Drosophila melanogaster: one gene and its partner. The gene in region 1 interacts genetically with each later gene. Each region holds a gene or a part of one and is shown on either strand. Other genes may lie near its edges.

Region 1 (4,339 bases):
GGAAGAGTGGTTGATGTTTCAATGATGTCTTCGCAAAGAGGTGCAACTGCTCTCTTTATACCTTCTGAAACATTTTTTTTATCCTTTACATCTGGTAATTCTTCGTCGTGCAAAATTTCGTAGGATTTAGGCTTTAAGGTTGAATCCTTCCCATTGCTTGGGAATTGTTTAGCCGTATCATCACTCTTAGCTCCTTTCTGCAGCAAAAAACGAGGACTGATGGGCTTAAGTTTTTTATATTCCAGAATTTCAATTTGTTGTTTTTTAGTGGGAAATTGAAATATGCGCGGAACATTAAAGGGCATCTCCAAGAGAGGGGAGCGGAACGAAATCGATAGGAGGCTAGCAGCAATGCCAGGACTCTTCTCAATTTGGTCCCCTGCTTTCAGTTGAGATAGTTTATCCGGAATTTTGTTGGACTCCAAGTGTGTTTTGTCCTGTTGCTCCTCTCGAGTTTCGTTTTCCTTCGTTACCACACCAGATTTTTCTGATAGAATGTCAGGCGATGTCTCTTGATTCTTGCTTTCTGACATTTTACCCTCCTTGAGCGTGCATCGAGAAATACTCTTAGGAGCAGGTTCATTCTCTACCTGGTCAGATGCCTCGGGCGATTTGGTCGGTTTCTTGTTTTTGGATTTATTTTTAATCTGAGGAGCAGATTCCTTGTTCTCTGTCTCGATGTTCGCTGACATGTTAGAAACTTCTGTCTGAGTTTCAGGGGCCTTTGGAGTGCCTTTGTTTGTCAAGAGCTTTGATTGTACAGAAGGTCCAGGAGCCATATCTAGCAACTCCTTCTTTCTCACACGAGATGGGTTTTCTGCAATATTTATCCATTCTGAGTTGTTCTGGTTCTTGGAGCGCTTTGAAGGTCGGAGGGGAGTGGAGGCGGTTAGGTGAACCTGTTCCTCGACGGATCGATTCTTGCGCTTTTTACTGGATTTTACAGGAGCAGGGCTCACAAAGGTATCACTATCGTGGCTGGCAAACCGAAAGGCTCTGCAAGGGATGAATATGCTCAAGTAGATCGTAAAAAGAAATAAGCTCACCTACTTGAGTCCTTCGGCAGAGTTCAACACTTTGATAGACTCCCTCGGGGGCAGATAGCATCCATCTGAGGTGAGCAGACTAATGTCCTTCTGTTTGAATGCAATTTATTTAGAATTAGCAGTTAGAGATTCTTAAAAATCTTGCCAAGCTGAAGAGGTTTTGTATGTGGTCCTGGAGGTCCTTGATGTTGTTCCATGCTGCATCGATGAAAACCAACGAATTTCGTCGTTCGTCCTTGAAAAAGTTTGATAGATCCACCTTCATGCTGGAGTGTTGCATTTTTGACTTAGTTTTCTTATGATTAAAATGATTTTAAATGTGCTAGAGATGGAAGTATGTTCGATTTCGTTATCGTTAAATCGATGTGTTTAAATTTCTGTCAAATTAATGTCATATTTTTTGTAGCGATTTATAAAAATAAAGCTTATTTGAATGACAAACTACATTAATATTAAAAAATTGCAATATGGAAAACAATATATTTAAGTCAACGAGATTTTACTTGAAATAATTTAAGTTAGTTTTAAAAATGCCTAAAGCAGAGGGCTGTAATAATGGATAAATTAAAGCTTTGCCTTGCAGAGAATTTAATTTTTTAAACTCCCCTATGTTATCGATAGCATTTACCAGCTACGCACGACCGATAGCGATAAGACAGTTCTTGTGTACAACGAAAACAAATAGTTCTTATCAATAAAGTTAGGCATTGATCACGGCTCCGAATTAGATCAATGATGTAATTCCACCACGAGGAAGCTCCGATCCGATCCGATTCCACTCCAAAATGAGCCACGGCGACCAGAGTCAAAACCAGAGCAGCCAGCGGAGCCAGGCGCTCACTGGCGGTGGTGACTCCCCGAGGGACAGGGAGAAGGAAAAGAAGGGCTGGTTCCACTCGCTGACCAGGCGCAAGAAGTCCGACTCGGCGCTGGCCGTGACTGCATCCGCCGCCGTCTCCACCAGTGGATCGCAGAACAACAACAACGAAGTGTGCGTCCTTGAGGCAGCGGACTCTTCCATGGCCAGCTGCAGCAATGGGGGCACGGGCACAGGAACTCTGCGCAGAAGGCGGGACAAGGACAAGCGAAACGTGTTTGCCAGACTACGAAGGAAGGTGGGCCAAGGGCTCAGCTCCCTGCGAAACTGGCACTCCATGGGCGACTGCGACGACGGCGGAACTACTGATGCCACCTACGAGTTCCTTACGCCGGCCATCTGTCCGGAACCCACGCTACCATTCACACACGACTACTTGCGCTTTATCCGGAAGAAATGGCTTGAGCGCGAGGACGCCCACTCGCCCAACCAGATCATGTACAAGGCCTGCTCCGAGATGCTCAAGTAAGCGCCGTGTTTCTCCGTCCATCAACGATCGATGACTCATGCCCTTTGTTTGTTTTTAGCCAAGTGTGGTACTGGGGTGAGATCTCCAGGCGCGATTCGCAGCGGCAGTTGAGTGACAAGCCGACTGGGTCGTTTCTAGTCCGCGACTCGGAAACCAGCGGATCCCAATTCACGCTCAGCTTTCGGATTGTGAACGTAACCCTGCATTATCGACTGGAATATCGCGACAATTTTTGGCACTTCGAGGAACTTAAGTACGAGTCCATTGTCGAGATGATCGAAGATATCTTGCACCGCTGCACCAACGACAACTTTGTGTGCTTTGTGAAGGTTCCCAACGAGATGCAGCCACCGTTTCCAGTGATCCTCAAGTACCCGTTGAGCCGGTACTCCAACATGCCCAAGCTGCAGGACTTATGCCGCCGTGTTCTGCAGCGCCAGATGTCTCGCGAACAGCTGGCCCAGTTGCCAGTGCCGGCGCAGATGCTGGAGTACTTGTCGGTGGAGCGGGAGCTGGTCTTCCAGAGTTAGGCAACCGCCGCCCGCCGTCGAGAAGCCGCTGGTCAAAGCTTTAACACTGAAGTAAACGCAAGCGCGTACACCAAAGAGGTCCGGGCGAATGGAATCCCAGCCTGCAGTTGTTCGTAATGATATTTGTTGGTCGGATTGGCAATATGTTGTTGATGCATTTCTACGCCCCAGTAACTAAGCGCACAGTCTCTCTTCACGTGCACGCCGGAATCCCAGTGCACAGAATTTTACTGTATTGTACTGCTAAGTACGGTTAGTACTAGTATCTTGTCTAGGATAATGTATTATGTTATTTGCCATATTTAGTCTATTGGTTTGTTTTATATGGGTCCTGGTCAAGTCTATACTCTGCACCACAGTGTGCAAATCCTTAAGCAAATTTTTAAACATTGAACTACTGCATATATGTATTAACGTAAGTTCTAAGCCAGATGTATCGTACTATTTACGTTGTTTGCATTTTTGTATTCCTAACTTGGACACTAACTTTTTGCTAATCTAGATTGCATGGAATTTAGGCAGCTTTACGGCAATCGAATACGTTCAATGCCAATTACTCTTGTTGCAACGTGTATGTATTTTATTTAAATCTATCTATGAATATTTTACAAGAACAAAATATCAATCAACTCCTTGAGCGATCTTGCAGTCAAAGGAGCTCGCAAATAAAGAAAAAATCACACAAATGTATATGTATATTCAGGAGGGGAGATTTTGCTGTTTAATGTCCTCCTCTTCGCCCTCCAGCTCTACATGGTCATACATGCGATAGGCTTTGAACTGGCCCAGCTTGACACCATCCACGTAAAAGAAGCTGAGAAAACATCTGCGGCACAGGTAGGAGGGATCGTGCAGCTGTCGCCGGGACTGGTTCACGATGAAGCTATAGCTGCGAATGCCGCACATATAGCAAGTCCTGCGATTAAACGTACTGAAGGCGTGAGGATAGGGATACAGGCTGCGATCTGGCCGTTTACTAAGTGGCGTTAGCACCTCTACCTGGGAGATCACAAACAGGTGTTCGCAATTGCCGTGGTGCAGGTAGTGTAGCGGTGATCCGGGGCTGACAGTGAGATCGATGAATCTTTTGCCCTCCATACTCTCCACCTTAAGCGTTTCTCCGTTCACTCCGTTCGCTCTGGCAGCCCACTGCAAGACGGTCTTGGAATAGTCGGGATTGTCCGGATTGCGCTGGTCGTTGTAGAATGTGTCGTTGATGAAGAAGTAACCGGGATTTGTGTCAATGGATGGCAACGGTGCATCTGGATCGTCGCTGATGTCGACAAACCGTTTTCCATTGCAAACGCAGCTGATCTTGTCCCGCAGCTCGGTCAGATAATTGCTGCCCAGACATACGAACTCCTCGGCGAAAACGGGAATCTCCACCTTAAACCCGCGATGGTAGGCCCGCGGTGGT
Region 2 (8,096 bases), on another chromosome or scaffold:
GCAGGGGCAATGGGATCGAGAAGCAGTACCGCTACAAGGTGAGTAGCTGACTTCCACTCCTTACCCGTCATTAGTTCACCTAATGTTTTCCTTTAACCTTCAGTGCCGAAGCTGCAGTCTGCCGCTTTACTATCGCCACAGTCCCGACTCCCACGTAACCTTCGTCATGTCCAATGCCCTAATCCGCAACAAGGGTGAGAGTCCTCTCACACAGCTGCTGAATTCGGAGATCAAGGGCAGTTTCAAGGCACCGGCTGCCAAGCCAGCGACTTCCGCCGGTCCAGACGATTCGGGTATTGTGGATGCCAGTGGCAAGAAGGTCGTCGTCACCAGACACACGAAGAACATGGGCAAGTTCAGCTCGGTCACGGTGTCTACCATCGACGAGGAGGAGGATGAAATCGAGGCGGTAAGTTTGTCAGCTAAAGTTGGTTTGTAAATGGTGCAGGAAATCCAATCTATCATTGCATCATCTACGAACAAACCTACAACTCTTTCAAACTAACCATTTTTTTTGTTCATTCAAACAGCGCGAGATCGCAGACAGCTATGCGAACAACGCAAGGATTATCGAGAAGCAACTGCAGCGCAAAGGCGGAAAATTGAGCGATGTGGGCATCAAAACCAAGACAGAGGACGCACCTCCGCCGCAGAAGAAGCAGCGCGGCACGCTACTGGAAAGATAGTCACACTCTGCCTCCTTATTACCCACAACTAAATATATTTGACGACACAAATGGCTGGCATTCTTGGAAGAAAAATTGCAATTTATCTAGTTATAGCATACGCAAATAGTTTGACCTTCTATGCTGTCGTTTTGGCAGCAAACTGGGATGCTGTGCCAGTAGCTTCTTCAGTCGCTGCTCGGCGTGCTGGTGATTGAGAATCGAGTCCTTGACAAGCCCACAACTGGGACATAGATTGTACTCCGACTTTGACTTTTTGACGATCGCTGGACGCACGCGAGTCTCCATGATCAGCTTCATTCGATTCGTGGTACGCGGCGAGTTGTGCAGAGCAGTGAGTGGACGGCACTTACTTCTTGGCGAGGATTCGGTCCGTTCCAAAGCAGCCTTCTCCTTGCTCCTGACCAGCTCGAGTGCACGATTCGCTCGGGCTTTGGCCAGCTGCAATTCGAGAGGCGCCTTTGGCAGGTTAAAAAAGAAGTGGGTCCACTTATCGCGCAACTGTTCGATGGCCTCCGAGTTGAATAGTGAGCTGGAACGATTGGAGGTATGGGGTCCCCATTCCGCGTTCCCGATGCAACTCAATCTATAAGCGGACATTGAAACCTGAAGTATTATACACTGAAAATTTGACAACAAAGTAAAAGTGTACATATATGTGTATATGTATACTATATACCGTATAGTTATGGTTTTTGGATGGATTGTTTTTCAAATATATAATTATACGAGGGTATAGAAGCTTCGACTTCTGGAAGCTAGCTCCCTAACTGTTTTTGGTTTTTGTATTCTGTTGCATTGCATTGCTTTCATATGTTTAATTGTTTCAACTGAACACATTGTACTTGTTTTCGATTTAGAAGCGTTGAAAGCGGATGTATCTTACATTATCCAAGTAAAATAAGGGATGAGTCGATATGTATGTTGCATATCTCCTTACGATTTTAGATAAGGAAAGACATTTTATAAATATAAATATAAATTTCTTGAAATATAAACATTGAAGAGATAATTAAATTCATTTTTTTTGGGTAAATTATAATATATTTTAAACCTGCTCGTTGCAATTTAAATTCAAAATGCTTCTTCTTCTGCTAAAAAAGCCATTCAACACGAATGCTCTCTACATTGGATTTTTTAGTACATTCTTAAGCATCGAATCAGGGCTGGTCGCGAGCATTTACTGGATTTAGGCAGTGCCGCACTCTGGTCACACCGCGAAAAATATTATATTGAGTTGAAGATTATATTATACATATATATATCGAAGATACATATTCTGAAAACAAGTGCTGAAGCCCAAGCGATTTGCAAACGAAACGGACGCGCGAGCCCCGTTCAAGATTCGAAACGAGTTCAGTGCGTGCGCTTGAGTGTGTGTGACTGCCATGCGACGTTCGCCCGGGTGATCCGGCTGTGCCAGGTGCCCCACGGTTCCAGGTTTCCAGTTTCCAGGTTCCGCTCCACTCCACTCGTCGCTGGATTCAGTGCACAACACAGCGGGCGGGGAGGCGGAGGGCAGGCGGCCAACGAAGGTGCTCCACGGCAGGCTCTCGTCGGCTACTCCACGGCGCACAGAATGTTCTCGGGGCCCAGCGGCCATGCCCACACCATTAGCTACGGGGGCGGGATCGGTCTGGGCACTGGAGGCGGCGGCGGCAGCGGTGGTAGTGGTAGTGGCTCACAGGGCGGAGGCGGTGGTATTGGCATTGGCGGCGGTGGCGTGGCTGGGCTGCAGGATTGCGATGGCTATGACTTCACCAAGTGCGAGAATGCTGCGAGATGGAGGGGCTTGTTTACGCCATCGCTAAAGAAGGTGCTGGAGCAAGTGCATCCACGGGTTACCGCCAAGGAGGACGCACTGCTGTATGTGGAGAAACTCTGTCTGCGGCTTCTGGCCATGCTGTGCGCCAAGCCGCTGCCCCATTCCGTGCAGGATGTGGAGGAGAAGGTGAACAAGTCCTTTCCAGCGCCCATCGATCAGTGGGCCCTGAACGAGGCCAAGGAGGTGATCAACTCGAAGAAACGCAAGTCTGTCCTGCCCACGGAAAAGGTGCACACGCTGCTCCAGAAGGATGTGTTGCAGTACAAGATCGATAGCTCCGTGTCCGCCTTCCTGGTGGCCGTGCTCGAGTACATCTCAGCGGACATACTCAAAATGGCCGGCGACTATGTGATCAAGATCGCCCACTGCGAGATCACCAAGGAGGACATCGAGGTGGTGATGAACGCCGATCGTGTGCTAATGGACATGCTCAACCAGAGCGAAGCCCACATCCTGCCCAGTCCCCTGTCACTTCCCGCGCAGCGTGCAAGTGCCACCTACGAGGAGACGGTCAAGGAGCTGATCCACGACGAGAAGCAGTACCAACGCGACCTGCACATGATCATACGCGTCTTTCGTGAGGAGCTGGTGAAGATCGTGTCCGATCCGCGCGAGCTGGAACCGATATTCTCCAACATAATGGACATTTACGAGGTGACGGTCACTCTGCTCGGCTCCCTGGAGGACGTCATCGAGATGTCCCAGGAGCAGAGTGCCCCCTGCGTCGGTAGCTGCTTTGAGGAACTGGCCGAGGCCGAGGAGTTCGATGTGTACAAGAAGTACGCCTACGACGTTACCTCGCAGGCCTCACGGGATGCTCTCAACAATCTCCTGTCTAAGCCAGGGGTAAGTATTGATACCTTCTGTGCGAAGAATTCTACTAAAATCCCTGCTTTTAGGCCTCATCTCTGACCACAGCCGGCCATGGCTTCCGCGATGCGGTCAAATACTATTTGCCCAAGCTGCTTCTGGTGCCCATTTGCCATGCCTTCGTGTATTTCGACTACATCAAGCATCTCAAGGATCTCAGCTCTTCGCAGGACGACATCGAGAGCTTCGAACAGGTACAGGGACTGTTGCATCCACTCCACTGCGATCTCGAAAAGGTAATGGCCAGCCTGTCCAAGGAGCGACAAGTTCCGGTTAGCGGTCGAGTGCGCCGCCAGCTGGCAATCGAGCGGACACGGGAGCTCCAAATGAAGGTGGAGCACTGGGAGGACAAGGACGTGGGCCAGAATTGCAATGAATTTATTCGCGGTAAGTGCTGGCAACGAAAGTTACTTGCATCCTCCAACTAAAATGGTATTTCAAATTTACAGAGGATTCGCTGAGCAAACTTGGATCGGGAAAACGAATCTGGAGCGAGCGCAAGGTATTCCTCTTCGACGGGCTAATGGTGCTATGCAAGGCAAACACCAAGAAACAAACACCATCGGCAGGAGCAACGGCCTACGACTACCGACTGAAGGAGAAGTATTTCATGCGACGCGTGGATATCAACGATCGACCGGACAGCGATGATCTGAAGAACAGTTTTGAGTTGGCACCCCGGATGCAGCCGCCCATTGTGCTGACCGCCAAGAATGCACAGCACAAGCACGACTGGATGGCAGACCTGCTGATGGTTATCACCAAGTCGATGCTGGACCGGCACTTGGACAGCATATTGCAAGACATCGAGCGAAAGCATCCGCTGCGGATGCCCAGTCCGGAGATTTACAAGTTCGCGGTGCCGGACAGCGGTGACAATATCGTGTTGGAGGAGCGCGAAAGCGCAGGAGTGCCGATGATCAAGGGAGCGACGCTTTGCAAGCTAATCGAGCGCCTCACCTATCACATCTACGCCGATCCGACTTTTGTGCGCACCTTCCTCACCACATATCGCTACTTCTGCTCGCCGCAGCAATTGCTGCAACTGCTGGTGGAACGCTTTAACATACCGGATCCCAGCCTGGTCTATCAAGACACGGGCACAGCAGGTGCGGGTGGAATGGGCGGCGTTGGCGGTGACAAGGAGCACAAGAACTCGCATCGCGAGGACTGGAAACGATATCGCAAGGAGTACGTGCAGCCAGTGCAGTTTCGAGTGCTCAACGTACTGCGCCATTGGGTCGACCATCATTTTTACGATTTCGAGAAGGATCCCATGTTGCTGGAGAAGCTGCTGAACTTTCTGGAGCACGTGAATGGCAAATCGATGCGCAAGTGGGTGGATTCCGTGCTTAAGATTGTTCAGAGAAAGGTGAGTAGTTGGTCAACAGCATAATGTGGAAGTATCGTTATCATTTTTCAAATATTATTTACAGAACGAGCAGGAGAAAAGCAATAAAAAGATTGTATACGCCTATGGCCACGATCCGCCGCCCATTGAGCATCACCTTAGTGTACCCAACGACGAGATAACGCTCCTCACCCTGCACCCACTGGAACTGGCCCGTCAGCTCACTCTACTGGAATTCGAGATGTACAAGAATGTAAAGCCGTCTGAGTTGGTCGGATCACCCTGGACGAAAAAGGACAAGGAGGTGAAGAGCCCTAATCTACTGAAGATAATGAAGCACACCACGAACGTCACCCGCTGGATTGAAAAATCCATCACCGAAGCGGAGAACTACGAGGAACGCCTGGCTATTATGCAACGCGCAATCGAAGTGATGATGGTGATGCTGGAATTGAACAATTTTAATGGAATCCTCTCGATTGTCGCGGCTATGGGCACGGCATCTGTTTATCGACTGCGGTGGACATTCCAGGGATTGCCCGAACGCTACAGAAAATTCTTGGAGGAATGCCGCGAGCTCAGCGACGATCATCTCAAAAAGTATCAGGAGCGATTGCGATCCATCAATCCGCCTTGTGTGCCATTTTTCGGTCGCTACTTGACCAACATACTCCACTTGGAGGAGGGTAACCCCGACCTGCTAGCCAACACAGAGCTAATTAACTTTTCCAAACGACGGAAAGTGGCCGAGATTATTGGCGAGATTCAACAGTACCAGAACCAGCCATACTGCCTCAACGAGGAGTCCACAATACGACAGTTCTTCGAGCAACTGGATCCGTTTAACGGACTGTCCGACAAACAGATGTCCGACTATCTCTATAACGAAAGCCTGCGCATTGAGCCAAGGGGCTGCAAGACAGTGCCGAAATTCGTAAGTATAATGCTTCAAAGTTTACAAGTCATATAGGAAATTTAACCATTTTCCTTTCGTAGCCTCGAAAATGGCCGCACATTCCGCTCAAATCGCCGGGCATCAAGCCGCGTCGCCAGAATCAGACCAACAGCAGTAGCAAGCTGTCGAACAGCACGTCGTCCGTGGCGGCGGCAGCGGCAGCATCGTCAACGGCCACCTCAATAGCTACGGCATCGGCGCCATCTTTGCACGCCTCCAGCATAATGGATGCGCCAACAGCAGCAGCAGCTAATGCTGGATCTGGAACTCTCGCTGGCGAGCAAAGTCCGCAGCACAATCCGCACGCTTTCTCCGTTTTCGCCCCTGTTATTATACCCGAACGGAACACCAGCAGCTGGAGTGGAACGCCACAGCACACTCGAACGGACCAGAACAACGGGGAGGTTTCGGTGCCGGCGCCACATCTCCCCAAGAAACCGGGCGCGCATGTCTGGGCTAACAACAACTCGACACTGGCCAGTGCGTCGGCAATGGATGTTGTGTTCAGTCCAGCGCTGCCGGAGCATCTGCCACCGCAGTCCCTGCCGGACAGCAATCCATTCGCATCGGACACGGAAGCTCCACCGTCGCCGCTGCCCAAGCTAGTGGTCAGTCCGCGTCACGAAACCGGCAATCGATCACCATTCCATGGGCGCATGCAGAACAGCCCAACGCATAGCACTGCCAGTACCGTGACCCTTACAGGCATGTCTACATCGGGCGGGGAGGAATTCTGCGCGGGTGGATTCTACTTTAACAGTGCCCATCAGGGACAGCCGGGGGCAGTGCCCATCTCGCCGCATGTCAACGTTCCGATGGCCACCAATATGGAGTACCGAGCAGTGCCGCCTCCACTGCCACCCAGACGCAAGGAGCGCACTGAGAGCTGTGCGGACATGGCGCAAAAGCGTCAGGCGCCAGACGCACCCACAGTAAGTAGCCTCACTTACTTCTAATTTGTAGTAGCAGATGACAGCAATCATTTTACGTATCCTTGCAGTTACCCCCGCGTGATGGCGAACTCAGTCCGCCGCCGATACCGCCACGGCTCAACCATTCCACGGGCATCAGCTACTTGCGACAAAGCCACGGCAAGAGCAAGGAGTTTGTGGGCAACAGCAGTCTGCTCCTGCCCAACACCAGCAGTATTATGATACGCCGCAACTCGGCGATCGAGAAGCGGGCAGCGGCAACTAGCCAGCCAAACCAGGCGGCGGCGGGACCCATCAGCACGACACTAGTGACCGTGTCGCAGGCAGTGGCGACGGACGAACCGCTGCCGCTACCGATCTCGCCAGCGGCAAGCTCCTCGACGACCACATCACCGCTGACACCCGCCATGTCGCCCATGTCTCCCAACATTCCCAGCCATCCGGTGGAGAGCACGTCGAGCAGCTATGCCCACCAACTGCGAATGCGGCAGCAGCAGCAGCAGCAGACGCATCCAGCGATCTACTCGCAGCACCATCAACATCATGCCACCCATCTGCCGCACCATCCGCACCAGCACCATTCGAATCCGACGCAGTCGCGCTCGTCCCCCAAGGAGTTCTTTCCGATTGCCACGAGCCTCGAGGGCACACCCAAACTTCCACCAAAACCTAGTCTAAGCGCTAACTTCTATAACAATCCAGGTGAGTGCTACCAACTCGGCCCGTGATAACGTGTTTCCTAACCCAACCATCCTATCCGTTTGCAGATAAAGGTACGATGTTTCTTTACCCAAGTACAAACGAAGAATAATTTAAATTGCCTGGCGATGTGATAAGGACGAAAACTACGAGTATGATCCGTAAGATTCAAAGTTGCGAGCACTGCTTGAGTGCAGATATATATATGAGAGAACGGAACGTGAGATATATATATATATATATACATATATACGTAGGCGCAGTTTATGTATTCTAGTATGAAACGAGTTGGAACCGCTGATTTAGATTATTCGCCACTCATTTAACAAGGTAGAACAGACAGACAGACAAAATACGCTCTCATTTACACACAACAGGCACGCGCATATGGATAGGAATGCAGGACACACAAACCAAGCAAGCAACCAAGCAACCAACAAGAAATGCAAACAAGAAATTATGTTATTATATAATTACTATTATAAATATTTGTAAATATCGAGAACATTGTATTGATCGTAGAACGTAAAACAATAAAGTATAACCCTATTGTTAGACACTTGGCGACATCTTTCGATGACCAGAAATATAGAGTATTGTAGCCAAAGTCAAGGCAATCTGAGCAAATAGCATAGATTATCAAGGCTTTTCCAACGTTTAAAGATCGTGGGTATTCTTTATGTGCCCAGTGGCCTTGATGAAGTCGACGTGAACCGACATCCGACTGCAACACACCTGACATTCTCGCAGTGTCCAGCATAATCGCAGCCATTATTAA

Evidence for each region.
Region 2: of Socs44A (region 1) and Sos, changing one suppresses a phenotype caused by changing the other (phenotypic suppression), as found in Drosophila melanogaster (one study listed by BioGRID).

Annotation. Positions count from the first base shown.
Region 1 is NT_033778.4:8,125,874-8,130,212, forward strand, and holds Socs44A (suppressor of cytokine signaling at 44A), read left to right. Parts: upstream 1-1,701; 5' UTR 1,702-1,831; coding exon 1,832-2,388; intron 2,389-2,450; coding exon 2,451-2,922; 3' UTR 2,923-3,603; downstream 3,604-4,339. Other genes in the region: coil (coilin), read right to left, coding at 1-996, 1,051-1,136, 1,192-1,326; Pbp49 (PSEA-binding protein 49kD), read right to left, coding at 3,622-4,339.
Region 2 is NT_033779.5:13,811,949-13,820,044, forward strand, and holds Sos (Son of sevenless), read left to right. Parts: upstream 1-1,867; 5' UTR 1,868-2,265; coding exon 2,266-3,357; intron 3,358-3,410; coding exon 3,411-3,768; intron 3,769-3,830; coding exon 3,831-4,753; intron 4,754-4,817; coding exon 4,818-5,666; intron 5,667-5,728; coding exon 5,729-6,619; intron 6,620-6,687; coding exon 6,688-7,321; intron 7,322-7,386; coding exon 7,387-7,430; 3' UTR 7,431-7,876; downstream 7,877-8,096. Other genes in the region: CG16865 (uncharacterized protein), read left to right, coding at 1-38, 104-409, 531-686; CG16888 (uncharacterized protein), read right to left, coding at 777-1,286. UniProt on the Drosophila melanogaster protein: Promotes the exchange of Ras-bound GDP by GTP. Functions in signaling pathways initiated by the sevenless and epidermal growth factor receptor tyrosine kinases; implies a role for the ras pathway in neuronal development.